Notamacropus eugenii: one gene and its partners. The protein of the gene in region 1 purifies or fractionates together with the protein of each later gene. This does not show direct contact. Links are inferred from orthologs where the notes say so. Each region holds a gene or a part of one and is shown in the gene's direction. Other genes may lie near its edges. The genes, in order: TP53RK, EKC/KEOPS complex subunit LAGE3-like, GON7 and NUP43.

Region 1 (6,655 bases):
GGCATGCAGTAGGAAATAATTGTTTCCTTCCTCTTAAATAAAACAGGCTCAACACATTTCTATATTGACAGGCTTCTGGACAGTTTATACAACATTACTCTTGGTGTCACACATATTGTCAGATTTGGTTGAGGTGTTGATTACTTTGCTGAACTGATTTTTTTTCCATTTCTTTTCTATTCTTTTCTTACAAAGGATGACACTCTTTACAGGAAGAGGGAAAGAAATGTTTGGAAATGAAAGTAAAGTAAAAAAAACTCAAAAGACAGCCAAACACAAAATATATTTTTATAATTAAATTCAGAAAAAAAAAAGCAAATGGGGACAGACTATAGTGGAAAGCTCACTGGACTGAGAGGCCAAAGCCCTGAGTTTGAGTCTACACTCTACCACTTACTGGTTGATGACTATAAGTCTCATATCACTGGGCCTCAACTTCCTCATCTGTAAAATAATCCCTGCCCTTGGCCCTTTCCCTGGGTTGTTGTGAGAAACTGCTTCATAGCCAAAAAGCTTCACAAACTGGAGCAACTGGTGTTCTCCAGAGGAAGGATAATACGATGAATAAAATAATAGAATAAGGAGAATGGTAGATGCTGTTTATTATATTAGATTGTCAAGTCTTATTATTAAGATGGAACTCAAAACAGACTGTCAAAGGGACTTAATTAGGCAGGTGTTCCGAAGGGGTTGGTAACCCTGGTGATGCTTATAATGATGATACCAATAATGATGCTAATTAAGTGGTGCACTTTGAAGGCTGAACAAGGGAGGGGCAGTTGCTCTGAAGTAGGCTTTAATTGCTTTGAGCGAGAAAACGATCAAGAATTTGCACCTTATGGAGACAGCAGTTGCAGACAGCTCTGTTGTAGAAGGCCTTCTTTCTGTAGAAGGCTAGGTTGCCCAGAGTGGGATCACACCCCTCACTTCATTAGCTGGGGTTGGGAGTAGTGGGGGGCTAACTACTCTTTTTCACTTTCATTTCTAGCTCTTTAGAATGGATGTGGGGGGAACAGAACTATCCTTACAAGTGGACTAAGGAGCTGGACATGAAATGGGAAGACCTGGGTTTAAGTCAGACCACAGCTAGTGAATGTTACTTTCTTTGGCCCTCTGTAAAAGCAGGATTCTTGTACTTCCTACTTTGGAAGGTGATTGTAAGTCCAGTGCTTTTTACAGTATAAAGGAAATGTGAGCTGTTATTATTAATTTAAAAGTTATAGGATCATTGATTCATAGCTGGAGGGACTCTTAGAGGCCCTGGATGCAGAACAATAACTTCATTTTGTGGATAAGGAAACAGACCAAGAAAGGTTAGATGACTTCCTAGGGTTCTGAGATTCTTCTCTAGTCATCACCTCCGAAATTCTAGGATTTTATGAGGGTAAGAACTTTAAGAAGGGCAGCACAGAGAAGGGGAAGTCAGAGCAAAAGTGGATGCAGGAAGTCAGCAGAAGGATAAGCTCTGGAGTTGGGAATTTAGAGATAATCCAATCATTTTACTAAAAGCAGACAAAAGCCCCCTTCCTCTGATGTCTCTGGCATTCAATCTACCACTTCCCAGCCTCTTTCCTCCTTGGCTCTTCCTCTTCCATTGTGCCCTTTGGAAAATTCACTTAATCATCAAAGCATTTTTCTTTATCTTCTATCTCTTCTTTTCATCATCTTTCCATCTTTCTAGATTCAGGGGAATACAGTTTTCTCCATATGAGAGAGTCACCTTCTCCACTGCTGACTGTTCTGCATCTCATGTTCCCCAACATACTGATCAGGAGAAGCAAATGTGTTCCTGGTTCCCTATGGCCACTATAAATCAATTGATCAATCAATTAGCAAGAATTTGTCAAACGTCTAATATGTGCCAGAAGCAGCACAAGGACCAAATTATGAAATCCTCAAGGAGTTTCCATTCATTCTATTTGCTACCAGAACTGAGCATCTTTTCCAACTCTGAGATTCACTCCATCCATTTATAGCATCTTCTCCATATCCTTAGTGTTGTTGTCTATTGGCCTCCAAGTCACTTTCCTTCATTTCCTAGAGTTCTAAGCCTGACCGACAACTCTTCCTCCACTTTGATTCCTCCCATACTTGGGGGGTGGAAGTGAGGTGGAGGAGTGGGCTTCAATATTCCCAACAATGTCTCCTCAAGAACTCTGGTCTCCCACTTCACCTGTCTCCTTAACTCCTATGAACTTATTTTCATTCCACTTAAGTTGATCACAGAAATATCTTACCATCACTCCTTGTTATGAACTTGAACTATGAAATTCCTTTCTCTGACCATAGTGTCCTGTTCTGTCTTTCCTTCTACCACAGCCTCCTAGTCTTAGCTTAGTCTCTCATCTTCAGCTATTTACTCTTTCTCACTCCTAACCCTCCATCTCCAATCTCTTGTCAAGGCTTGTTGATTTTACCTTTAAAACATCTCTCCCATACACCCCATTCTCTCCTCTGACACTGCCTCTCAGTACAAGCCCTAACCACTTCAGCCCTGGACCATTGCAAGAGTAGCCTGCTTGTGAGTCTGTCTCAAGTCTCCCCCAATTTCTATCCATCCTCTACTTCGCTGTCAAAGTAATCTTCCAAAAGCACAGGTCTGACCCTGTTATCCCCTACTCAACAAACTCCAGTGGCTCCCTATCAACCCCAGGATCAAATATAAAATGCTCCGTTTGGCTTCTAAAACCTTTCATAACCTATTCCCGCCTCAACTTTCCTATTCTTCTTACACTTTACAACCTTCCCCCATTCCTACCCCCCTCCCCAGTCCCCTCAGGTACTCTGCAGTGACACTGGCCTTTTTTCGATTCCTCAAATAATCTCCTGACTCCAGGCATTTTCACTAGTTGTTTTTCATGCTCAGAATGCTCTCCTTCTTGGTTTCTCTGTCTTCCTTCAAGTTCTACCCCAAATCCCACCTCCTACAGGAAGGTCACCAGCCTCACTTTCACCTCCAGAGCCATTTGCATTCAATGGCCAGATATGGATCTAGAGGTCAGGATGCAGTGGCCTTTTCAAGCCAAAGTCTTTAACAGGTCTTACTTTGACTATGCAAAGCCCACAGGGATTAAGGTTTAATAAGAAATGAGGCAGAGAATGGCCTCTTTACCTCATTCAAACAAAAAAAAATTCAATCTGGGAGGGGAAGATCCTCAGGGTTTCTGGCCAAAACAGAAACAACGCTATTTATGCTCACTCTGAACCACTGGAAAGGCAAAAGACCATCCCTGCTCTCAAGGATGGTCTAATGGGGCAGACAACATGTAATTGACTCTGTACAATCAAAATATACACTAGATAAATCTGAAATAATCACCAAAGGGAGAGCAGTAGAATTAAGGGGGATCTGGAAAGGCTTCCAGCAGGAGGTGGGATTTTAGGAAGGACTTATTCTCCACTAAGCTACTGAACACTAACGGAGGAATCTGACTAATCTGAAAATTGAGTCCACCACAAATTCATGTCACCTACTTTCAACTGAGCTCACCTTCCAGAGACTTACAATATTTCCCCTGAATTTTACTACCACCCTGGGGTGTCCCTCCCCCACGTGTCCCCAAAGTAGAAAGTGCTTAGGGTTAAATAGAAAGTTGTGAGGCAAGGTTTATGGAAGAGTCAAATTATGTTCAAATCCCATGTCAAGCATTCACTAGATAGATAGCCTTACACAAGTCACTTAAACTTCTAGGCATAAGTTTCCTTTTCTGAAAAACGAGGGGTTCAGACTTCAGCAATGGCCTCTGAGATCCCTTAAATACACAAGATGTCGTTTGTGTATTGTCTCCCTCAATTAGAAAGTGAACTCCTAGAGAGCAGGTAGCACTTTGTAAACACTAAGTAAACACTTAGAAGAAGCTTTTCCTTTTCATCTGCCAAACTACAGAACTCTATTCGGACAACTCCTTGTACCACCAAAGAGCAAGATCTAGATTTACTCCTATATTCAGCTTCCACTTTGTCCAGGAACTCCTCTTCTGGCTATAGGAAGTTTGGTCCGGAAGTCTTTCATCACTGCCACTGGCCATCTTCTCTGTCTAGTTTTCTTGCAGCTCACTGTTTGGCCCATCAACTCCTTTGCTATGCACCACTGATTCCTCACTGCCTTTACTGAGGCTGTGGTTCCCTGAAAGGACTGCCTGTCTCCAAAGAACTAAATCCAAATGTAGCCCCTGTTCTTTCTCCCTCTCTCCCCTACCTCTCTCTCTTCACTTGCCCCTCACTCCTCCCTTCCCCTCCCCATTCTTTCTTTCCCTCCCTCTCCCTCTCCTCCCTTTTAAAGGCCAACCATGTTAGTCTGGCTATTGACTTCATCAACCAGTCACCACAGATGGTGGCAACCAGCACTCACCACAAAGTAAAGAATTCATTTTATTAAAGAGACATCTCAGAGTAAGAACAAAGGGACAATCACGTCAACTCATTCAATTCAAATGATCAAGTGTTTATCGAATACTAAGTGTCAGTTGATGTGCTAGGTGTGGGACACAAACCCAAAATGAAACAGTCCCACCTTCCAAGGTCGGAGATTCAGTTGTGGGAACATCCACCCGCCCACCCGCTGGAGGCGCGCTGGAGTTGGCGGCCCAGGGGATGAGTGTGAATCCCCGGATGCACTACCAAGCACAAGCACTCGATAAGAGCCAGACACCAGGCAGCTACAGAGAGGCAGGAGACGACGTGGCGGTGAGACCCTAGGCAAGTCACTGAACTTTTTAAAAATTACTTTTTAACATTTATTTTAAAAAAATTTGGGTTTACAATTCTTTCTCTCCCTCTACGCCCTCTGCCACCCATGGAGAGGGCAAGCGCTAATAAAAACAAGTGAAGGGCTTGGACTCCGAGAACCCTCTCAACTCCCGATCTATAGGCGGGTTGAAAGTTCCGAAGAGGAGGGGGCGGAGCTTCCGGGAAAAGCCGAAGAGTTCCGAAGAGGAGGACCAACCACCGAGGGCTTCCGAAAAGAGCCGAAGAATTCCGAGTGGTCGTTGAGAGGCGGGCAAGATGGCGGCCGCCGCTGAGACTGGGAGGGAGACGGCAAAGGCTGCGGCGGAGACCGCGGACTTGGCCGCGGACCAGGAACAAGAGCAGAAGCTGGAACGGGAACGGGAGCGGAGCAGCGACTTCCTGCGGGGCCTGGAGCTGGTGAAGCAGGGGGCAGAGGCGCGCGTGTACCGCGGCCGCTTCCTGGGCCGCGCAGCGGTGGTCAAGGAGCGCTTCCCGAAGCGCTATCGGCACCCGGCCCTGGACACGCGGCTGAGCCGGCGGCGTACGGTGCAGGAGGCTCGGGCCCTGCTGCGCTGCCGCCGAGCCGGTAAGCGCGTGTGCGCGTGCGCGCGCGTGCGCAGGGGAGGGAAGGGAAGGGGGGAGGGGAACACTTTACACCTGGCAAAAGATCAGTCAGTTTCCTGGACAGTGACTGCGGGAACTCTTTAAGATAGCAAGTTTAGATGAGATGCCACCCCAGCCCTTCTAGTTTTGTTACTTTTGCTGAAATGATTTGGCACGATAAGAAAACTCTGCGACCTTTACAAACATGTTCAATAAACACTTTTTCAAGTTATTAAAAATAATACAAACTCCCTTTTCGTTTTTTGTCTCTCCTGCAGGGATATTAGCCCCAGTGGTCTATTTTGTAGACTATGCCTCCAATTGCTTATACCTGGAAGATATTGAAGAGTCCTTGACTGTCAGGGACTATATTCAGTCCATTCAGGGGACTGAAACAGATGCTGAAAACCTCCCCCTCTTAGCCAGAAAGATGGGGAAGGTTCTGGCACACATGCACGATGAAGATGTTATTCATGGAGATCTCACCACCTCAAACATGCTCCTGAAAAAGCCTGCTGAACAGCTGAGCCTGGTGCTCATAGACTTTGGCCTCAGTTTTATTTCTGCCCTTGCTGAGGATAAAGGTGTAGACCTGTACGTCCTAGAAAAGGCCTTTCTTAGCACGCATCCCAACACGGAGAGCTTGTACCAGGACCTTCTAAAAAGCTATTCGTCAGAGTCCAAAAAGTCAGGCCCTGTGCTAAAAAAGTTAGATGAGGTCCGGCTGAGAGGAAGGAAGCGGTCCATGGTGGGGTAGGAGGAGATTCTGTGGTAGTACCACACAATTCATTTCCAAATAAAATTCCCAGGGAGGTTACCGAAACGTGTGTTGAGATTTTATTTTTAATTTTTTATATTCTGAACTTAAATACCCCCAAAGGAGCCTTTTTGTACACACAGCAGAACATAAAAAAGGGGATCTCGATGAAATCATAAATCTCCATTTCACATTACTTTTTTCAAAAGTATGTAATTCAATTGTTACGTTCGAAACTGTTCTGCTTATCTATCCTTCTTTCTGAATGAACTTCTTTCTATTCTGTGGATTTTAAAAAATGTTACAATGCCCCTCCTATTTTTGTATCAGTCCTGCTAAACCCCCTCACCTAACTTTACTCCCTCAAATTAAAAAAAGAGAGAAAGAGAAAAAAATCCTTGTAACAAATAAGCATAGACAAGCAAAACCAATCTATACGGTGTCCACAAATAGGTGTTTCTGTGTCTCGTGGGCATCATCACTCTCCAGAGGTGGTTTTACATGCTTCATCACGTTTCATGCTTTTATCATCCCTTGCCCACTTCAAACCCTGGAACACAACCAGTC
Region 2 (7,900 bases), about 69 Mb from region 1:
ATGGTTATTTCACATCTCTTTGCTATGTGTAGCCTCACTTCTTCTCATTTAACCATAGTGGCTAAGAAGGAAATTTCATAATAAGGTCAGGTTCTCCCTGAAGTTGCTACATCTGCTACTGCTACTCTTTTGAGTTTTCCCTGTTCAAGATGGTGAGCCTTGTAGTTTGCAGAATCTCAGGGAGCCCCTGAGATGGGACATATCTCTCACAGACCTATCCTGGGTCATGTAGTCACAAGACATGCATCTTCAGTCACAAGAAAAGCAATGTTATTGTTTCTGCCATGGGTCTGGGGAGGAGGTAGCTGGTGTCATGCTATTGGACTTACTGCCAAGGACCCCAGGAAGAAGAAGACCCAAAGTTACTAGAATCATAAAGCATTCTCTTGTCACCTGAATGTTGGGGAAAGGTGTCCCTTTACAAATTAACTCTTTCACCATGTTACAATACATGTCAGAAGCATAGCACTCATTATGGCTAGCATTTATAGAGCACATACTATGAGCCCAGCACTGGGGCTAAAAGCTTTACAAATATTATAGCTCATTTGCTCCTCACAGCCTAACAGTATACAAAGGATTCCTGCCTAAATACATATGGTGAAGTGAGGATGATAATCTAAGTGACTGTTTACAAGAGTGAAAAGAAATACCAAGAAGACTGAGTTTTTAAATTCAAGCTACTCTCTGAAGCTAGGAAACCAGTGAATGGAAGGGAAGATGCAAAAAAAAAGATGGCAAAAACCAGATGTCCAACTCTCCAGGTAGAGATTTGTTAGGCCAAAGTGATCCCATTTTGTGACTGTAAGTTTTCACCTCTCAACACTGTAAAACATCCCACTTAAGAGACAGCAGCACATGTCCTGATCTAATCACAGGTTAACTGGTGAATTCTGCTTCCCCTCTTGTGCTATGTAAAAATTGTATAAAAGCCAAAAAGCTGTGAACCTCTGGGTCCTTGTGCTGACTGAGAACCTTGGACTTGATTTGCTTGTACAACCTCATGCCTGACTACAACATTATCCAAATTAGTTTTTAAAACAAATTTTCTCTCCAGTATGAATTATTTGATGTTGAGTAAATAGTATATTCCATTTAAAGTCTTCCCAATGTTCATTAACTAGGTATTAGGATTTTTTTCCAATATGAATCATCCAGCATTAAATTTTCCTTCCAAAGGTTGATCTATGCCTGAAAGCTTTTTATATTCACGAATTACAATTGAAGTGTTTTTCTCTAGTACAAGGAATTTTATGTTGCATAAGATGTGATCTTTTTTTAAAAAAATTATTTTTAATTTTCAACTCTCATTTTTACAAGATTTTGAGTTCTAAAATTTCCCCCTTTCTCTCTTCCTCCCTCTCCAAGACAGCATGCAATGTGATATAGGCTATACATGTATTATTAAACATATTTATTATGTCTAAACATATTTCCACATTAGTCATGTTGTGAAAAAAGAATAAGAACAAAAGGGAAAAACCATGAGAAAGAAAAAACAAAACAACAATAGAAAGAGAAAACAGTATGCTTTGATCTACATTCAGATTCCACATTTCTTTCTCTGGATGTGGATAACATTTTCCATAAGATGTGATCTTACCCTAAAAATCTACTTACATTGCTTAAATTTAAAGATTTTTCTCCCATATCAATTCTCTGGGTATTTTTGAAGATTTTCCAACAATTCATTGTAATAAATGATTTTCTCTTCAATATGAGTTCTTTGGTGATGAGTAAACTGTGTTTAAGGGATAGTCTATAACAAACTTGATTACTGAAATGTGACTGAATAGTGATATGTTAAATTAACTGTAAAAGTCCAGCCAGCCAGACGATCCTTTTTTTCAAGTTCAAATGAATCCACTGAGTGAATTAGAAAGGCAGCAATAGGCCATAAATATTCAGAATAACAGACAACTCTCATGGTGACTTTTATCAATCAGTTCATTGAGGCTGGAAACAAACAGACAAAAACCCTGCTTCTGATTTGATAAGTAAAAGTTGCATGGAACTTTAAGAAAAGTTAACTAAAAGAAGCCATGTTGAGCTGAGAAAGTGTAAACATAGAGGTATCTATCACATTCTACAATTATGGTTTCTCTCTCGTATTAGAACTGTGATGTTTCATAAGGTCAGAGCTTGGTCTTGACTTCATATCAAATTCATTGCCTTTGTGAACTCTCTTCCCTGAGAGGACTTCCTTATAAGTGACTACTTGCCCCAATTTTGCCTTACTAGCTTTTGCTTTACTAAGTGGCCCTGGTGTTCCATTCCTCTCCCAACGTAGACTTTCGGACAGTGCCATAGCCACGTTCTGCTGCCAATTCAAGACCGTCCCTTCATACTTAAGTTAATGTTGTAATCTAGGACTCAAGCCTAGTCATAAGATTCTCCTCATGGTGGAAGGATTACTCAATGCTCTGTGCCTTCTTGAAGTGCAAAGATCATGGGAAATTGGGAGAGAACAGCTCCTGCTTCTGGTTTTGATTTTGAAAGAAGATATGCAGTTCCAGACTCTTTCTAGACGAGGTCCCCTGGTAGAAGACAGATTCTGAAAAAAAGCTGAAATGTCTCCTAAGTGGTCTCTATCCCTTCATCTTCCACTTTTTCTAACATATTGATGCCTATTCTTACTGAAAAATTACTTTTATTATGTTACCTACCTCCAATGGCTCTTGATGTCCCACAAATGCCTTAGGTTGGCATTTTAGGTCTTTCACAGCTTAACCCCATTTGCCTCAGTTTCCTCATCTATAAAATAAACTGGAGGAGAAAATGGCAAACCACTCCAGTATTTTTGCCAAGAAAACCCCAAAAGGGATCATCAAGAGTCAGATACAACTGGATAACAACAAGAATTTTACCAGAATTTGAACCAAATCTAATACAGTAGAATTTCACAGGGATAAACGTAAAATTGTGCATATGTGCTTTTAAAAAAATCAGCAGTACAAATAGAAAAGATGTGGCTAGACAATAATTCATGTGAATAAGACCTAGACACTCCAGTTGAGCCAGCACTACTAAATGGCTGGTGGGAAAAAAAATGCAATATTAGGCAGCATTGATAGAAACTTAGCATCCAATAGTTCTTTGGCTATCAGAACCCACGAAATAAAGGAAAATACAAAGTGGATCTTGATCTTGTGCAGTCTTCAGTGATAGTAAGAGAAAAGCAGACAAAGTGGCTAATAATTATCCAGTTTTTAGAATTAAGAATATTAGAGTTTTGAAATTACAAGCACTAGTTTTACTGTTGGTCCTATAAATGTGAGGTGGTTGTCCCATGAATGTATAAACATGCTACAGTAGGAACCGAATGGTATTTGTCATTCAAAGTTCAGGTAGAACTTTTTTTTTTTATTCTGGCTATAAATGAAACTACAAGACAGGAGCTAAAAGCATGATGTATAGATTTTTCTTGAAGAGGTCAGTAAAGGAGTTGGCCAGGTTAAAGTTTCTTGTATTATCATAGGCCCAAAGATAATAAAAGGAGGGTAACAAGCACTTATATAGCATGCACTACATTCCAGGTACTATGTTAGCTAAATACTTTATAAATGTTATCTCATTCGTTGTTCAGTTGTTTTTCATTTGTGTCTGACTTTTCAAGACCCCATTTAGGGTTTTTCTTGGGAAATCCTATAGTGGTTTGCTATTTCCTTCTCCAGGTCATCTTACAGATGAGGAAACTGAGGTAAAAAGGAATAAGTGATTTGCCCAGGTTCACATAGCAGGTTGTGTCTGTGGTCAAATTTCAACTCAGGAAAGAGTCTTTCAGACTCCAAGCTTGGCACTCTGTCCACTCTATCCTCCTAGCTGCCCCCATGCAAAGTAGGTGTCGTCATTATTCCCATTTTACAATTGAGGAAACTGAGGTCAACAAAAATTATGTGACTTTCCCAGGGTCACACAGCTAGTAAGTGTCTAAGGCTGTATTTGAATTCAGGTCCTCCTGATTTCAGGTTCAGCACTCTTTCCACTGAGCTACCCAGCTGTCTCTGAATAAGAGTATAATTTCATGAGCCACTTGTTCATCTTGTATTACATAAACATTTAGAAGAAGTTGACTATAAAAGTAATTGCAGCTCGTGTACCATTTGTGGTAGAGTACGAGGTGGCAAGAAAATTCTACAAAGGACTCAATAAGACTCTTCAAATTAAATTAACATAAACTTCAATAACAATGACTTCCATACAAAGGTGGAAATAATAAAAAAGAATGACAAAATATTTTGGAAAACATAATTGAAGAGTCAGAAACAAGAAAATCCAAGCACTTTTAGATCATACTGAAATCTCATTCCTATATAATAGCTAATAATAGCTGTTAATATTTATATAGCATTTTAAGAGTTGCAAAAGGCATTTATATATATTATCTCACTTGCTCCTAACAAAAACCTGGAGATAGGCACTATTATCTCCATCTTACAGATGGGAAAATGACTCTGAGAGAAGTTAGTGATTTGCCAAGAGTCACATAGCTAGTAAGTGTTTGAGGTAGAACATGACCTGAGGTCTTCCTGATCCCAAGGGTAGTGCACTATCTACTAGCCCATCTATCATTCGTATCTCATGAATATTCTCTTTGAGAATAGAGTTAGATTGTGCTAAACAGCATAAACACTGAATATCATCACAAAAATGAAATTTATCATAGTCTAACAGAAAGAAATGGTTAATGTGGGGGTCAAATCTGAATAAACTGTATTGTTAGAATTAAAATCAAAATTAATACCCAAATAGAAGGGTAAAAATAGCTGTGGTGGATGATTAATACAATTCCAACCTGACCTATTTAAATTAACCATTGAGAATGAAAAATTGAGAATGGATAAAAGAACGGATATCTACTTAGTTGCTTGTTATTTTTTTTTATTCTTGAATAATTTTATTTTTTCCCAATTACATATAAAAACAATTTTTAACATTCATTTTTTTTAAAATTTTGAGTTCCAGATTCTCTCCCTCCCATCCCTTCTCTCTCCTCTCCTCTCTTCTTCCTAAGAAAATAGGCGATTTTTTATAGGTTATACACGTGCGATGATTGTTATTTCCTAAGGAAGTTTAAGTGATTTAAATCCATCGCCATCCCGAGAAAACTAAGAGCTGAGAAAGTAACTCACTCCTCCAATTCTGGACCTACTTACCAAGCAATTGATAGAAACATGGATCTGGAATACAAAATCACTTATGAGCAAGGGAGGGGAGAAATTTTAACAATGGGTGTCTAGGACAGAGAATGTGTTAGATGCTTCTTCTCTGGATCAAAAGAGCTTTTCACACTTTAAAGAGTTATATAAATGATTTGTTATTATTATCCTCATCAGTCACGGCCAGGAAATTTCACAGATGCAGAGACCACCAATAAAGGAATAGGGAAAGGGACCGAGGTCGTCACGGAAACTACGCTTGAGCAGAGCGACTCGAAGAACTACGATTCCCAGAATCCTCTGAGCTGTAACCCGACCTGTCCCCAAAGGCGGTTTCCCAGCGGCCTCCGCGGCTCAGCCGGTTTCTTGGGAGCTCTGACCTCCGGTTTGCAGGGGTCACGTGAGGAGTGAGTTGGTCCTCGGGAGGCTCTGGTGGACACGCGGCGGGGTCCCCGCCCCGACGGTATGCTAAGAGGGTGTGAGCTGTATTGTGGGAGAGATGGGGAGCTTGTGAGAGCGTATGCGTGTGCGTATGCGCCTGCGCTTCTTGTGAGTCCGAACGGCCCTGTCGTGTGCGGTTGCATGTCTTCCCGTGCGTGGTCATGTTCTGTCGAGGCGGGTGTGAGTTTGTAAGCTAGTGCCCCGAGTTGTGTCTTTTGATAGTTGTGTGATCACGTTCTGTGTGTGTTTGTGGGCTAATGTCCACATCGTGAGAATTGCGGTGAGGTCGGCGTGAGTCCCTCGCGGAGCGGGAGCCGAGGCTTGGGGGAGGCTGCCTTGGCGGAGCCCCTCCCCCTCCCTCCGCTGCGGAGCCCCTCCCCCACCCCCTCTCCCGCTGCGGAGCCCGGCTGTTAAGCGCCCATGCTCTGGCATCATGGTGTTCCAGCATGGCTTGTGAACGTGCGCGTGTGTGTGTGTGTGTCTCTGGATCTTTCTTTAGGGCCTTTGCTCCAGACTGATGTAATTGCCCCGTTGTTGTTTATGTTGCTGCTGCTGCTGTGGTTCAGTCCTTCAGCCTCATCCAGCTCTCCCTTGGGGTTTTCTTGGCAAAGATTCTGGAATGGTTTTCCATTTCCTCCCCCGGATGGTAAAGGCAAACAGATTAAGTCACTTGCCTAGGGTCACACAGAAAGTAAGTGAGGCTGGATTTGAACTCAGGCCTTCCAACCAGCGCTGCGTCAGAGCCACCTAGCTGCCTCCAAACTTGCCTTAAGCCGGGATATAAGAGGGAGAGTTCCTTGCTGGGAAGGCATATCGTAGCCCCAGGGAGAAAGACCTGACTAAAGTGACTCTGCCTCTTAGCCACAGGTTTTGGCTTCAGTGGAGCAGCAGAGATGAAGGTGGTGGAAAAAGCCTGAATCCAACCTAGAAGGAGACACAGCCTTGATTTAAGAGTTTTCCAGAGAATCCCAAGAAGTGACACATCTTGGGGCTAAAGTTGTCCCACCCTTCTTACCTGGGGAAGATCAGGGAAGTCATCCAACCTGTGAGGAGAGTGAACCTGGAGGATCAGCCTCACCTGCTTGGGGAGAGAGGTGAGAAGTTACTGAGGTATTTGGGGAGGAGGGAAAATATCGTCCCTTTAGAGGGACAACATGCCTTACATACATTGTTTGATTCTCCTAACCACACTGTGAAGTTCACACTCTAGGTATCATCCCCATTTTATGAATGTGGAAATTGAAGCCCAGAGAGTTTCAGTGAGGTCACAAAGTTGCTTATGTATAGGAGGCATATAATCAAATCCAGGTCTTACCCAAAGTCTCCTAAGTCATACATCATCTCTACTTTAGGGAAAGTGCCCCTCAGTAGGTAATAATAAGGAAAGGAGTTTTCCTTGTCATAAGGGTATCAATAGATTTACTAAATGAATGAGACTGTCAGTTTGGGCTTCTGATTTTCCACATCCTTGATGCAGTTCTCCCTGTGCTGTAAGATATCCTTTAGAATAGAGAGGTTCTTAACCTTGTGAACTTGTTTTTAAATGTATCTTGGTAATTATATTTTGACATAATTGATTTCCATTGTATTCCTCTTGTGTTTTAAGCATTTAAAAATATTATTCTGAGAAGGGGATCCAAAAAAGTATTTTACATAAAAAAGATTAAGAATCCCTGCTCCATTAATCAGAGATGACCTTCTCCCATTGGTTGACAGCCTAGTTACCCCATCCCTTTTCCAAGCCTTTCTCCCTAAAGGCCCCTGACATTCTTCACCTGAAATATCTGAGTGCATGAACTTACCTCAAAGTACTTTCATGTCTTTATTCTTATTGTGTCTTCACAAAAGTCACTTGGACAGATAGGCAGGCATTTTTATCTTCATTTTGCAAAAAAAGAACTTGTTTCTAAGGGATTAAGTAGTTGCTTAGAGTCTTACAGTAGTCAGTTATGTAGCCAAGACTAGAAGCAGATTTGAATTTGGACATTTGGCTTCTCTACACAGTGAAGTTCCATCTAGATACCTTTATCCAAATTGAACTCCTCTGGAAACTGATCCTGTCCTTGTAGATGCTCCATAGGGTATTCTCATCCCTTGCCTCCTTACCTCCCTCTGTGTCCTTTACACTCACATTTATTTAAAATGGATGGTCTTGACGGGAAGTCCTTTGACTTCATAGGTGCAAGGTTAGAGACCACTGGGTTGTCAAGGAGGACCTTACTTACCCTGAATAATGGATAGAGGTTTGGATAATTAAAACAGAGATTGTGGAAGCTAGCCAAACTTCTGGAGAATAGGAG
Region 3 (7,578 bases), on another chromosome or scaffold:
GAGATTGGATTCTAATGCGGATTAAGCTAACTGCTAAGGGAATTAAAAAAAAATTTCCTTTCTACCCATCCAATTGCAATTGATTTTATTAATTAAATGATTGATAAATCTTACTTACCGGAAGTAATTTGCATTCCAGGTTTTTAAACTTGCTATTTCCACAATCACAGCGAAAATTTCTGAAACAAAGGAGCAAGGTAATAATTTCAATTTATTCAAAAAATGTAATGTCTTACTTTTTACGTTCAGGAGTCAGGTTACAATCATGCTTCTTTTTTTTTTTAAAGTGGGCTTGGTTACTATGACCTGATCCCTGAACAAAAGTAATAAGAAAAAAATTGTACAGTCCCAGAAAAGAAAGAGGCCAAAAAGAATGCAGAAATAAGTAAAATTACTACAGATAAGGGTCACTTCCTTGATCCCAAGTATGTAAATTTAAACAAATGTAAATCAATTTGTTCTTTAACTGTAATTTTAAAAACTGCTCCCAAAAACTAATCCATATTAAAAACAATTATGATTACATTGTTTCATTAGCATACATCAGCTTTAATCACTTCTACACCTTTATAAAATCAGTTTTAAATGAAAAAATTGGGGCTAAAGGAAATACAGTTAAGAAGGCAAAGACTATATAAAGTATACCTCTTTGGACTGGAGTTAACATTTAAGAACTAATCCAGATATTTTAATGCTCTCTGAACAACTTTACCTTTTTGTATATAGCTCAAATAATTTATGACTTCCATGGCATTCATAACTGCATGCTAAACAAATTCCTGCTGGTTCCTCTCCTTCTGGGGTGCATGTGCTGCAGGCATATAATGCTTGTCTTTTTACAGAGCCCTGTCAGATGCACAAAGAGGAAGAAGAAAATCATCAAGAAAACAAATTCATTCAAAAGTGGTACAGCTGGCACTAAGCACTCTTTGTGATCTACATAATAAATGAAATTTAATTCAAAACCCATAGACATCTGTAAAGGTCTTCCCACACCGACTTACAAGCCTCTTTTTTAAAAGCACAACAGTACCATAAAATGGGGTATAGTTCAAAGGAGAAAGCATGTACAGTGGAACAAGCAGAAGCTCTCGATCACAGGGCCCTGGGTTCAAATCTTGCCTCTGACACTACCAATGTAACCTTGGACATGACACCTTACTTTTCCTGGCTTCAGTTTCCTCACCTACAAAATGAAGGTCTTAGTCTAGATGTCTTCTGAAGTTCCTTTCAACTTTACCTCTATGACAATGACATCCATATATGTACTGAGAATTTTAATACACCTTTCATTTAGGGCCCAGCCTACCTTTCGAACCATATAGTCTATGCTGTTTCTATTTCAGTCATATCTTTCCTTTTATTATTTTAAAATGTTTTATAATGACCAGCTTCTGTATCTTGAGTCGTATCACAAATCATTACAATTGCTTCCCATTTAAAAAGCCCTTTCCCAACCATTAAAATTCTATTCATTCTTCAAGGTCCAGCCCAAATTCTAGGTCCTCTGTAAACCTTTCTCTGACCCCTTCAATCTGAAATTCTCCCTTCCCTCTTCAGTCCTAAAATTCACTCGTTTGCTCATTTTGCACTTACTATTTACTGCCTAATATTTCTAGTCATTTTGTGTGTGTGTACATGCCCCTGGGCAGCTAGGTGGTGCAGTGGATAGAGCACCAGTGCAGGAGGACCTGAGTTCAAATCTCACCTCAGACACTTGACACTCACTAGCTGTGTGATCTTGGGCAAGTCACTTAACCCCAACTGCCTCATCCTGGGTCATCTCCAGTCATCTTGTTGAATATCTGGTCACTGGATTCAGATGGCTCTGGAGGAGAAGTGAGGCTGGTGACCTGCACAGCCCTCCCTCACTCAAAACAAAGTCAAGTCCAAGTCATGGTCTTCTTTGGCAACGAAGGACGAACACACGAACACACACACACACACACACGACCCAGTTCGGTTCCCAACTTCAAAAATCCATGAAGAAAAGAACCATGTCTTAAACATGTCTACATAAAGTCAATGCTCAAGAAAGGTATTTTATTAATTAAACTACACAAAAAATGAGCTGTTGTGGTCAATAAAGGTTTTGCCAAAATATAATTCTTCCAACCCCTTTTAAAACTCTAAAATGAATTAGGGAACTGCTTTGCCTTAATAATTATAGTTTGGGATAGATAACAATATTTGATGACTGAAAATCTTTTAGTGTCTCATCATCACTGCATATCAAGAAAGATCATAAAAGGTTATAGGAATAGATGTGGATGATGTAGGGGTTGTGCCCCCAGACATCTTAAAATACACTTTTTGTATTAAAATGCTTATACTACTTGCCTTATGGCTTAAATCTTTCATAAAAATGGGAAACAGCAAAATAAATTTAGCTAATTAAGTGTTAGCAGGGTTCTGGTTAATCAACATTTTACAATGTTGGTATTTCTGAGAACATGAAAATAATTAACCATCATATTTTCATCTTGGAAAATGTTTGGTCAACTTAGATATTTAAATCTGAAAGACAATTTACTTTATGGAAGAATAATGCCTTCTCCCCTTCCTCCCTTACAGAACAAACAGGTTTTTGCCTACCCACCTGCTGCAAATCAAGCTTTTTAAAAAAATCACCTCTGAGGTGTTTTAGCACAGCCCCAGGTGCTCTCTCCTAAAAGGCTACCAGGTTTAAACTCTCATTAAGATCAAGGCCTGAAGCATACCACCTCTAAGGTAAAGAGTATCGCCTCCAATCCCAAAGAGAACTCGATACTGAGAATTATTATTTAATGCTGCAGCAGCTCACACGTTTCTCAATGGCTGCTGTATTATGTTAGTCCACACCAGAAAACGTCTTCAAGTCCCTTTCTCTCCACACTCCACTAAGCTTTCTGGACAGGGATCTCTGCACATTTTAATTCTTCCGTCTAGTGTCCTTACTGCACTTCTACGCACCCCTAGCCGGTAAAGGGAACCCCTATAACCTTCATCCTTCCGCAGTCTTCAATGCCAAATCTGCTCTCTTCTCTCCCTTTTCCCCTATTATCCGCTCTTCTGGTTCCTAATCTAACGTTGAAAGCAGAGCTTCTACAAATAACTCGTTTCTACAAAATACTACATCACATCCACGCAACTGGACAGGACGTCCCTGACCCTCACCTCCCAAAGAAGCCAGCCCACAACTTACTATCCCTTCTTGCTCGCCCTAGGACGGGGAAATGCGATTTGGAGAGGGGGGGGGGGGGGGCAGGATAAAAGGCCTGAACCAAGAGGAGGGGAGGAAAGGAAGGAATGGGGTTTTCGCAAACAGTGACACTAAGAATAAGGCAGAGAGGTCCTGAGGAAAGGGGCACTGGGGGGGAAGGCAGGGGAGAAGACAAGGTGGGGGGGGACAGGGCCACCCTATCTATGAAAGGGAATGGGTGGGGGGTGGGCAAAGCCTCCGGGAGCTAACAGAAACGGGGGGGGGCGGGGAATAAAGAAGGGGAAGGGGGCGACGCTGGGAAGAGGACAGACCAAGAACGGGGGCATCTCCGTGCGCGCTCACTGGCCATCCCCTCCCATCTCCCACCTTCTGCAAGGAGCCTCCCTGATCCCCTTAATCCTGGAGTCTTCCCCAGGATTATTCATACTTTAGCCAGCATTTTTCCAGTTTGCACACGGCAGTTTACAGACTGGCCTCAGGCCAACAAGCATTTATTAAACGCCTACTGCGTGCCCGGCACGGCGCTGGGCGGCGGAGGCAGAGAAGGTCAAGAGCCACGCGGCTGGGCGACGTCCTCGGAGGGCAAGGACCACGCTAGCGGACTACCTGACCTCCAGGACGGGGGGTGGGGGGGCTGAGGACCCTGCGAGGCAGACGAGCCTTTAAGAGAGAACCAGGAAGCAGAGAATTCCGGAGCGGGAGCCGAGACACATCAGGAGTGAAGGGGTCGGGCTGGGAATGGGAAGGTGGGGGAGAAGTTGGGGGCCGGGAAGGGCGGGGCAGGCTGGGAATCCCGGAGAAGAGCGGGTCCGCACGGGGGTGGGAACTCCCTAAAGGAGAGGTGAAAGGGCAAAGAATGACGGGGTGGCCCTCCGTGGAGAGGAGGCAGGCCCAGGCCGGGCCCGAAGGCGCCCGGACTGAGCCCCGGGCACGGGAGCCCCGGGCACTGGAGCGGAGGCTCGCGCGGGCCCGGGCCGTGAGCCCCCCAATCTCGGCCCCGGCCCCCCGCCCACCTGCGAGTAGGAGCACTTCTCCGAGTCGCTGCCGCCCAGCACCGCGCAGGCCTCGTTCTCCAGCTCTTCGTCCTCCTCTAACACGTCCACCAACGACACCACGGGCTCCTGCTCGGACAGCCGACCCCCGCCCCGCTCGGCTCCCGCCATGCTCAACTGTCAGCCGGCAGGCCCGGAGCTCCACATCGGGGGCGGCGGGAAAACTGCGCGCGAGGGGTGTAGCCGGAGATGGAGGAACCCCGCCCCTCCAACTCCCAAAACCAATCAGAGCGCCGGGAGGAGAAGGCGGAGCGCGGGGGGCGCCGATTGCGGAAACGGAAGTTCAGGGGAGGCGGGAGGTGCCGAATGCGTAGGCTTTTTTTTTTTTTTTTTTTTTTTTGGTTTCCTATCCCCTCCCTTTTCCTCTCCCTCCCCCCCCCCCCGCCCCACTCCCCTCCCTCTGGTGGCTGCTGCGGCGGCAAGGGCCGCTTCCGTTTCCGGGTCGCTCCGGTGGCGGGCAGTTGAAGAACTGCCGTCATGGAGCTTCTGGGAGAGTTTGTGGGACGAGATGGGAAGCAGCAGCGGCTCCGAATAACTTGTGAGGGGCCGAGTGAGGCAGGCCGCTTCCAGGGACTGCTGTCGGGGTTGGCGCAGATGAGGGAGCAGGTGACCGAGCTCCTTCAAACTGTGGAAGGAAGAGAGGCGCGGGACCCGGCGGCGGCTGGAGGCTCCACCTCGGCCTCGGAGGGTGAGCCGGGCGGCGGCCCCGTTCCCCTGGCAACGGCGGGGGCGGGGGTCCTGGGCGGGGCTCTTTGTTCGGGGCGGGGGAGGACGGCGAGGCCGAGGCCAGGCTGAGCCCGGGGCCGAAGGGTGCTTGGTCCTGGTTGGTGACTTCTGAGGACGGGGTCCGGGGGCAGTGATGGGCTTCGAATTCTGACTCGAAAATGTCGGAGACGCCCTTCCAGCCCTGAATCCTCCGATCCGCAATGTCGCATTTACGTCTAGTCGGGTTGCTTTTGTCTTTTGAGGCCTCACAGCCTAAGTTAGTGCTCAAGTGTTGTCCGTTCTTTGGAGGAAAAAATAGCTATGATGATTGGAAAAAATGAGAAAGGAAAAATAATTGCAAACATTTATATAGAGTGCTGTCCGATTTCCTTAAAATCTTTCCTTAGGACAAACCCTGGGAAGTGGAAAGTGCAAGTGTGAATCCCCATTTTGTTTTTTACAGATGAGTATAAGCAGAGGTTCAGAAAGGTTATTTGCCAAAGGGCACACAGCTAGTAGGTGGCAGAGGGTACTCAAACCCTGCGCCTCGGACACCAAATCCTTTGCCCTTTTGCTCTTTCCACTGTACAAAACTGCTTTATCTTCTATGGTATAGTGTAGTACTTTTGAGCATCTACTACGAAAAGTATAGTATTTAGAGTTTCCGCTATGGTGCAAGGTGGTTCTTAGAGCATCTAAGTACTTCCCACCAAACAAAACTGCTTTACTGACCATCTACGAGGGTGAGGTTCGGTACTTAGAACATCTACTGTGGTGAAGTGTGGATGCTCTAAGTACTACATTGTATCGTGGCAGTAAAGCAACTTTGTATCTTCGAAGAACATCTAAGTACTGGACTGGATTTAACTGGAAGGAACTTTTTATTTTACCAGCTAGGGAAGGGATCTAGAGAGCAGAAGTGGCATGTCTAAATTGACACTGGTAATAGCAGAGCCAGGATACAGACTCAAGTCTTCTGACTTTGAGTCCAGGCTCTTTCCAATACAACACTAAAATATTAAAAAAAAAAAATCCATAATATTGTTAGTGTTGACAGATCCTTCCATGCCGTAGTAGATAGTTTTATAAGTTGCTGTAGTGGAAAAAGAAATTATGCAGTGATAAATCTCTCTGAATGTAGCAAGGCTGGCCCACTCAGAAGGGGTCCTTGCAATGCCCTTATTTGAAATCTTTCCTGCTTGTTAGCATTTGCCGGAGCTTGTTCTCTATGAGGGTAGCTTTCAAGAAATAAAGGTCCTGTCCACACCAATATGAGGCAGAAGAGAAAGACTTAAGTGGAGGTATCTTGCATATCTCAGTTTTATAGGTGGACAAACTGAGGCACCAATCCTTAAATGGCTTACCCATGTCATATAGGCACTGCACTTTGTGGTTGTACTTAGTGCCCAAATTGAATTGTCTGGCCATTTTTCTTTTGCCTGCTGCCAGTAGTATTATTATTTACTTAGGGACAAATAGGTGGTTTAGACATTAAAGTCATTAGACCTCAGACATTTACTGCTATATCACCTGGGGTAAGTTATTTAACCTCTCTTAGCTTCAGTTTTCTCATTTGTAAAAGGGGATAACAACAGCCCTTATATGACAGGGTTGCTGTGAGGATAAAGTAACATTATATAGACATATACATACATATATGTCTATATAATACTATTTAGGTGCTCGCTGTTACCACTTATTATTAGAATTATTTCACACACACATATAATACATTAAAAAATATTTGAGGAATGATTATGGTGCTCTTCCCTACTAGTGTGTGGACACTACTGAAAAACAAATCAACAATAGTACTGTAGGTTGGTTAGCTCTTTTAGGGCATGATATTGACACCAAGATGATAGTTTCCGTCCTTGTATAAACTAGGTAGTTTGGCTAATGAACCAAGTGGGGAGTTTCTATGGTTTCTAGCTTCAAACTCTGTTCCTGTCTTCTTGAAATAGCATGCTGTTGGCTGATCGATCATTAGGGAAGTACCACTACCCTATTTCAAAAATAATAAAAAAAACAACCTCTATCAACAACAGGTTAATAGTGTCAGAATTGTGCAGAAATAGTACAATTGTACATAATTGTACAGAATAGCAATTTTTAAAATTCAGGAATAGAATGAGACATTGCTGGATTATTTACCTCGTAAATTTAAAAGAGGTACATTTAATAACTCAAAAGTAATAATGTGCGTGCTTTTTTACCTCAGAAGTAAACATTATGTTATAAAATGCTTTGTCATTTTAAAAGTACTTTACGTATGTCATCTCCTCTGATCTCATTAACAGCCCCTTTTAGCTGTCCTTCAAGAATATTGTCATACAACAAATATTTGTTATTTTAAAAGGTGAAGACGATGAGGCTGAAGATGAAGAAAGTAACACTCAAAACAAAATTTACTCATCGGGACCACCTGCAAAACGGATAAAACCTTTACATAGTCTTGAATGTAGTTTTGGAGTAAAAAACTTTGGCTAAATCTTGGTATAAATATTTGGTATATATTGAGATCTTGCAAAATTTGTACTTGATTTTGGAAACGCATCTGTTTTTACCTTGGCTATTCTGTCAAAGGAAAATGTTTCTTCTGTATATTGCCAACCAAAA
Region 4 (7,486 bases), on another chromosome or scaffold:
ATAAATTTCTTTATGATTTACTATCAGTAAATTTTGATTTGTATAACTATTTTATATACTGACATACCTAGGATCACATAAAAATTTCTCAGGCAAAAAGGGGTCACTAGCAGAAAAAGTTTAAGAAGCCCTGGGGTAGAGGACTGAGGGCAAGAAGCAGTATAAAATGTAACCAACCTGACTGTGAGAGAAAAGGGCCAAAGTCAACCATTTGTAATGTTGTCTATGACCTTATTTGAATGAGGAAAGTGACCAAGGAACTAGTATATGCTTGGAGGGAATATCCAATGCACTAAGGGCCTTCCTCTAGGTCTTTTTATGTATAGAATGAAGAAGTATTTTTTATTAAGCACTTCCTATGTGCCAAGCACTATGCTAAACACTGGGGATTCAAATGAATAAACAAAGCAGTCCCTGCTCTCAAGGATTTCACAATTTTCCCTAAATAGGGAAAGTAAATGAGTTTTCAGTTGTAGGGCAGATGGAAAGGTGCCAAGGTATTTAAGGTGTAGCAACAGGGCAGATGACAAAGCCTAGAAACCCATAAGGTGAATTGGCAGGTCAGACTGGCAATGCCTAGGGTAAGACTGATGGTAAGGCCCCATCTTAACTGAAAGGATGGTAGCAGGTAACTCCCTACTTATCCAAGCAGTGTGAGCTTTATATGTCCCCAACCAACAACTGGTGGGAAAGGGTAGAGTAGGCCTAAGGATTAAATAGACCTTTAATTACCTCAGGAAGGGTATGGGAATGGCAGTAGAGTTAATAGGGCACCACCATCCTTCCAGTCACCCAAGTTCTCAACTTTAGTATCATCCTTACTTTTACTGACGTCAAATTTACAATTAGTTGTCAGATCTAATTTCAATTATTACAACTTTTTTTCAGATATATCCTCTTCCTTTCAATCACACAGCTATCACTTTCATTCAGACTTTCATCATTTCTTAGCTGGATTATAGCAATAGTTTAGTTTCCTAGTTCAAAATCTGCTTCAAGTATTTCCCCTGTTAAATCCATAATCCATCCTCCACACAGCTGCCAAAAGTGATTTTCCTTAAAGCTCAAGTCTGACTATATCACCCTTCACCCCTGCCTCTATAAACTTTAGCAGTTCTTTATTCTCTCTAGGACCAAATATAACCTCCAAATATACCTGGAATTTAAAGTTTTTCACAATCTGGTCTTTTTCTACCTTTCTAGGCTTTTTATACATTATTCCCCTTGATGCATTTTATGATTTAGCCAATTGAGTTACTTGCTATTTTTTCATATCACAATTCATCTCTTTATCTCAGTGCCTTTGCAATGACTGTTCCCCAAACCAGGAAATACTTTTCCTTCTTACCTCTACTGCTTAGGATCCCTGGCTTCCTTCAAGATTAGTCTCAAACACCACTGAAATGGATTACAATTTATCTGTTCCTTCTTATCCTATGTTACTTATCCATGTCTCTACATAAATCTCCTATAGAGGATCTACCCAACACATCAGAAATAGGCCAAGAATTCTTAACCTGGGGTCCTTTCTGGAATCAAGCAATATACATAGTGGTTGTATGTTCTCTAAACATCTCAGTCAATTGTATGGCTTAAAAGATGAAGTCTCTGATAGAAAATCTTACAGGAACACTACTGAGGTCTTTCGATACTAAATCCATTGTTCCATCCAGTAACAGCTCAGTTGGGCTCTTTATTTCGGCTACAATAGCCCTGTCACTCACATTCTCATGGTGTGTTAAACAAAACTATAATTACTTTACATTCAGTACATGATTGCATTTGATAATTTAGATAAAAAGCTTTCATAGAGACATCAGAATTGGAACTACAGAGTTGTAAATACACTCAGACTATCTAATCCAACCTGTACCTGAAACAGAATCCCTTCTCATTTTCAACATACACTCAACCAGCTTTTGCTTGGAGACCTCCAGGGAGAGGGAATCTCCTAGAGGTAGCCCTTTCTACTTTTACATAGCTCTAATTGTTGGGAGAATTTTTCTTATATCAAATCTAAATTTGCCTGTCTTGCATCTTCTACCCATTACTGCAAGTCTGCCCTTCAGAGCCAAGGAGAACAAATTTAAACTCTCTCCCTCATGATGGCCCTTCAAATACTTGAAGACTGCTTATCATGGTCCCTCTGTCTTTTCCTCTCTAGGTTAACCCTCTCCACAGTTTTTTCACTTATTCTGGCTGCTTTCCTCTGGATACTCTCCATCTTATCAATGTCCACTCTAAAATGTGGCACCCAGAACTAAATACAATACTTCAAATGTAGTCTGACCAGCGTAGAGTACAGTGAGACTGTGTGTTTGTTCATTGCCAAAGAAGACCATGCCATCAGAGAAATGATGACGTGACTTGTACTTGACTTTGCTTTGAGTGAGGGAGAGCTGTGCAGGTCACCAGCCTTACTTCTTCTCCAGAGTCATCTGAATCCAGTGACCAGATATTCATCAGGATGACTGGAGATGACCCAGGATGAGGCAATTGGGGTTAAGTGACTTGCCCAAGGTCACACAGCTAGTGAGTGTCAAGTGTCTGAGGTGAGATTTGAACTCAGGTCCTCCTGACTCCTGCAGTGGTGCTCTATCTACTGCACCACTTATCTGTATTACTTTCCTAATTCTGGATCCCATGGCACAGTATGAAACTTGAGACTGCATCTGCTTTCTTGGCAGCCACATCATTATTGACTCTTACTGAGCCTGCAGAATACAAAACCTCCCATATCTCTTGCAGATGGACTGATGCCTAATTATACCCCTCCTGTCTTTTACTTGTGAAACTGATTTTTTTTTAAAAGATCAAGTGTTTTTACATTTATCGTATTAAATTCCATTTATTAGTTTTAATTCAGTGTTCTAAACTGTCAAGATCACTCTGATTGCTGACTATTGATCTTGTTAGCTATCTTTCTAACTTTCTGCCATCTGCAGATTATACAATAAACATGCCATCTACCTCTTTATCCAACTCAGTGATAAAAATGTTAAAAGGCATAGGACTAAGCACTTTCCAAGCTGACACTGAACTATCAATAACTCCTTTTTTGGTCCAACAATTAAACCAGTTCCTAATCCACTTACCTTATATAATTACCTCATCCTTCTACCTTGTCCGGAAGATTAGCATAAGAATCTTTGTTGTACCATTTTGCAGAAATCTAGATAAAGTATATTCACAGCGTTCCTCTGATCTAGCAATCTGTTTCATTAATGTAGACTGAATGATGAATCCAAACTGGCTTTTTGTGATCTCTGCTTTCTTTTCTATGTCAACTACCACATTTTTGGAACTGTTTCACAGGAGTTGAAGTCACTTAGGCAGCTAGGTGGTGAAATAAATGGATAGAGCGCTGTACCTGGAATGTTTAACTCCCCGCTCAGGGGCTTACTTACTAGCTGTGTCCCCCTGGGCAAGTCAATTAATCTTTGCCTGCCTCAGTTTCCTCAGCTGTAAAATGGAAAGAGTAATGGTGCCTACCTCCGAGGGTTGTTGTTAGGATGGAGATGATATCTGCCAAGTCTTTTGTAAACCTTAAAGCCCTACGCTAGGTATAAAGTCAAGGGTGCTACTTTCTTGGCAAAGATTCCATCCTTTTCCTTTCCTTTTTGTCCTCCAGTCCTGCAGTGCTTGTTTCTAGCCTGCAAAGGCTGTGGACTGCCTCAGCAGGCACCCCCCCAGTCTTTTCAGTGCCCTGATGTGGTTCCTCTGGTTGTGATGCCCTAAGGGAGTGAGGGCAGTTTAGTCTTGACATCTCCTCACTCAGCGTGGGACACAAGACTGGATCTCTTCTGCTCCTTACAGGATGCCTGGAAGGCAGTCTGACCGCGAAGCTTAGAGGAGCAGGCGGGGAGGGCCCTGAAGGCCTCCTACCGGAGCTGTGCTTCTCTGGCAGGTAACACAACGCCGCAGAAGGGTGAGTTCATGAAATGAACCGCGGGGGAGCTTTTCCTCCAGTTTTGTTTGTTTGTTTATTTATGCAGGTGAACAGCAAAGTCTCATAGCACGGAAAAAACAAAAAATTAGAAAGACGTCATTTGGGGATTTGCTTTAAGTGGGTATTTAGGAAACACCCAATCACTCCAGGATTTTAACAACGATCGTGTCCTAATTAAAATGTACGTGAAACGTTACAATGACAGCTTGGGGGAAGGGGAGGGGACGGGGAGGGGACGGGGAGCGCTTCCTTAGCTTCACAAAGTTGACGACAGGCAACGAGGAATCTGCTAGAAAGCTGAAGGGGAGAGCAGCGGAGAACCAACCGAAGGGCAGCCCCAGGACCTTCAGCTACACAGTCTTCCATCCCAAACCCTCAGGGCTTCCGGCATCCCACCCCCTCCCAGAAATCGAAAGCCTTTCGGAGCCTACCGAAGAAGTTTGTCTTTCCTCGCTCGCCGTCTCCCGGTGCTTTCTCTTAGCCAATCAGGATGCCGGGCAGGTGGTCAAAGCAGACCGGAAGAGGCGGGCCCAGGGTCTTTTCTCGGCCGCCGTCTCCCGGTGTCTTCTTCTAGCCAATCAGGATGCCGGGAAGGTGGGCAAAGCAGGCCGGAAGAGGCGGGCGCAGGGATTGCGCGCGCGGTAGAGTTGCGGCCTCTCAGTCATGGAGGAGATCTTTGCCAAGTTCGTGTCCCAGAAGATCAGCAAGACCCGGTGGCGGCCGGTGCCGCTCGGGAGTCTGCAGCCTGCCGAGACCTTCGCCACCGGCTCTTGGGACAACGAGGTATCCGCCTCTTCCTTGTCTCGTGGCTGCCAGGTTCCCGCAAATCGCGCGCTCCCCTTTCCCATCCTGCCGCATCTTCTTGGGCTTTCTTGGCCTTCTCCCCCACGCACGCGGAGCAACCCACGAGCTTCGCGCTCGTTCTGAAAGGACTCCCCCCGCCCCCCGACTCGGGTCATAGACGTCGGAGCCAGGAGGGATGTTAGGTACCATCCATTCCAATGCCGCCCTCTTTAACTGAGGCTCAGAGAGGTTAGGCTTCCTGCCCAGGTCACACAGTAGGAGGTTGAAACCCAGCTTCCCCGATTTAATTGCTTTTTTCCTATCTATAATATTTACTAGCAGTGTAATTAATGTAATAATATAAATCCCGAGGGGGTCATTTTTCCTCTCGGGAACTAGCCAGCTCCGCTGGCCCCTCAGGGTTCTTCCTCCAGATAACAGATTGTCTGAGTGTTACCAGGAGGATTCGGAGACCCAAATAATTCGGGCAAAGTCACGCAGGCAGAGAAGCATTAGAAGACACCTGTTACCCCTAGAAGTCAACACGCATTTATTAAGTACTCACTGTGTGCCAGATTTCTGTACTAAGTACTAGGAATATTTTTTCTTAAAGCTTCAGTCTCTTCCCTCTGAGATTTCTTACGATTTGTCTTGCTTTTAAAAAGTGGTCTGCCTACCATCATCCTCGTTAGAATGTTAGCTTCTTGTGGCCAAGGACTGAGGCTTTTTTTTTCTTTTTTAAACATCATTTCCCAATTGACTGGCTCCCCTTAGTTTCCAGTTTTTGGCTACCTTGGAAATACCGGCTATAAATATTTTTGTACGTAAGACTCATAGTGCTATCCCTGTGTAAAAAGGTATACACAATTTAATAACTCTTTGGGCATTAAATTATATTCTTGAATGGCTGGACCAGTTTATAGCTCCGTCAATGGAGTCTCAGTGTGTTTTAATAACTTTTTTATGCACTTAATCTGTTTCTTATAATTATTTTTCTGCATGCGTGATCTCAAATATAAATCTGGAAAAAGATGCTTAATGGTCTTCTTAAATGAATGATAACCCCCTTATAAATTCCAAAAATTTCATGCCTCCATGATAATAGTTGTCCTCTTAGTATCAGTGACTGAGACAATACATAATAAGCTAGTGGTGCCCATATATAATATTACTGGACCTGTTGAAATAGTTATTGGCCCCATTCCTCCTGTTTCTCCTAACATTCCTACAGACTGGAAACTACTTGAGTGGTTTAAACTGTTACCAAATAATTGATCATCCAAAAGTAAAACATGGAATATTTGAAGTGAACGAAGATTGTCATTTTATAAAATGGACTTAATCTGTCATAACATAAAAATGATACTAATTTACAGGAAAACAGTGTTTCACTCTGGTGTATTGGAGATTTTGGTAATTTGAGCACCGAAGGAGGGTTTGAAGGAGATCATCAGTTATTATGTGACATCAAACATCATGGTGATGTAATGGACTTGCAGGTAACCTAGACATTTTAAGACTTAAAATACTATAGAATATTATTTCTCTAAATATATATTCATATGGCCCAGAGTTAATCTATTGTTCACTCTTCTGAGATTGAGAATAGCTTAAGAAAGCCCAAATTTATATAAATATCCATTTATCATAATTAATATTTTTGTCTGTGCAGTAACTTTTTAAAGTGCTTTCGTTACTTTGCTCTTACTGATAAGGAAAGGCAATGTGTAATAGTTTTGAACTGGAATGAGCAACAGAAGACTTTGGGTTGTCATACCATATAAGATTTTAGCCTCTATAAGCCTTATTCTCCTCTTAAAGTAGTACTTGCCATGCCTACTTTACAGAGTGCTAAGGAAAGCGTTTTATAAACTGTAAAGTACCATGTGGGAAGCGTGAAGGCTCTGTGGATGGAGAGCTGGCTTTAAAGTTGGAAAGACCAGTTTCAAATCTTGTCTCCAAGACAGTGAATTACAAACTAGCAGCAGCTCTGTGTTGCTGATTTGCATGTGTAAAAATTTCCATGCTGAGTTTCCTTCACTGATGACATAGGTTCAGATTTATCCCCCTCTCCTCCCCTCCAAAAACCACTTTAAATAATGAATTATTTATAATTTTGTTAATTTCTTTGAGCTTCAATTTGTTTGTTTTTCAATCATTTAGTCCTGTCTTACTCTTTGTGACCTCATGGACCATACTGTCCATGGGGTTTTCTTGGCAAAGATGCTGAAGTAGTCTGCCATTTTCTTTTCTAGTGGATTAAGGCAAACAGAACTTTAGTGACTTGCCCATGGTCACACTGGTAGTGTTTGAGGATGGATTTCAATTCAGGTCTTCCTTACTCCAAGCCCAGTGCTCTATCCACCGAGCCACATAGCTAGCTACCTAAACTTCAGTTTACCTCTCTATAAATTGGAAATAACATCAGCCTGACCTTTCTCACTGATTTGTGAGAATAAAATGAAATAATATATTTGAAAGTCCATCATAAAAAGTAAAGTGTTATACAAATTATTATTATCTTTTATGTTTAAAATTGTGGTTATGTTTATCATTAAGTAAAATTGTACAATTGTTTACTAATATTTTGAATCTGTAACGAGCAGGATTTTTCTACTGCTTAGTTTTTGGACCAGGAAAGAATTGTAGCTGCTTCATCAACAGGAAGTGTAACAATTTTTCTTCACCATCCAAATAATCAGGTAAATAGCATTTTATACAAAAATTGAATTTTTAAAATTATTCTTAATGTTT

Evidence for each region.
Region 2: the proteins of TP53RK (region 1) and EKC/KEOPS complex subunit LAGE3-like purify together in Homo sapiens (affinity purification with mass spectrometry; 5 studies listed by BioGRID and IntAct, with this or other methods). This does not show direct contact. The link is inferred for Notamacropus eugenii from reciprocal best matches to the Homo sapiens genes TP53RK and LAGE3.
Region 3: the proteins of TP53RK (region 1) and GON7 purify together in Homo sapiens (affinity purification with mass spectrometry; 5 studies listed by BioGRID and IntAct, counting the BioPlex papers as one, with this or other methods). This does not show direct contact. The link is inferred for Notamacropus eugenii from reciprocal best matches to the Homo sapiens genes TP53RK and GON7.
Region 4: the proteins of TP53RK (region 1) and NUP43 purify together in Homo sapiens (affinity purification with mass spectrometry; 3 studies listed by BioGRID and IntAct, counting the BioPlex papers as one, with this or other methods). This does not show direct contact. The link is inferred for Notamacropus eugenii from reciprocal best matches to the Homo sapiens genes TP53RK and NUP43.

The regions. Positions count from the first base shown.
Region 1 is NC_092872.1:520,307,181-520,313,835, forward strand, and holds TP53RK (EKC/KEOPS complex subunit TP53RK), read left to right. Parts: upstream 1-4,358; 5' UTR 4,359-5,004; coding exon 5,005-5,314; intron 5,315-5,609; coding exon 5,610-6,088; 3' UTR 6,089-6,148; downstream 6,149-6,655.
Region 2 is NC_092872.1:451,136,954-451,144,853, reverse strand, and holds the start of EKC/KEOPS complex subunit LAGE3-like, read left to right. Parts: upstream 1-4,880; 5' UTR 4,881-5,622; intron 5,623-5,654; exon of another isoform or gene 5,655-5,788; intron 5,789-6,461; exon of another isoform or gene 6,462-6,467; 5' UTR 6,468-6,694; intron 6,695-7,900. UniProt on the Homo sapiens protein: Component of the EKC/KEOPS complex that is required for the formation of a threonylcarbamoyl group on adenosine at position 37 (t(6)A37) in tRNAs that read codons beginning with adenine.
Region 3 is NC_092878.1:36,898,733-36,906,310, forward strand, and holds the start of GON7 (EKC/KEOPS complex subunit GON7), read left to right. Parts: upstream 1-4,564; 5' UTR 4,565-4,731; coding exon 4,732-4,942; intron 4,943-7,318; coding exon 7,319-7,449; 3' UTR 7,450-7,578. Other genes in the region: putative E3 ubiquitin-protein ligase UBR7, read right to left, coding at 119-179, 713-846, 4,216-4,365. UniProt on the Homo sapiens protein: Component of the EKC/KEOPS complex that is required for the formation of a threonylcarbamoyl group on adenosine at position 37 (t(6)A37) in tRNAs that read codons beginning with adenine.
Region 4 is NC_092873.1:241,801,641-241,809,126, reverse strand, and holds the start of NUP43 (nucleoporin Nup43), read left to right. Parts: upstream 1-4,482; 5' UTR 4,483-4,612; coding exon 4,613-4,732; intron 4,733-6,108; coding exon 6,109-6,231; intron 6,232-7,356; coding exon 7,357-7,434; intron 7,435-7,486. UniProt on the Homo sapiens protein: Component of the Nup107-160 subcomplex of the nuclear pore complex (NPC). The Nup107-160 subcomplex is required for the assembly of a functional NPC.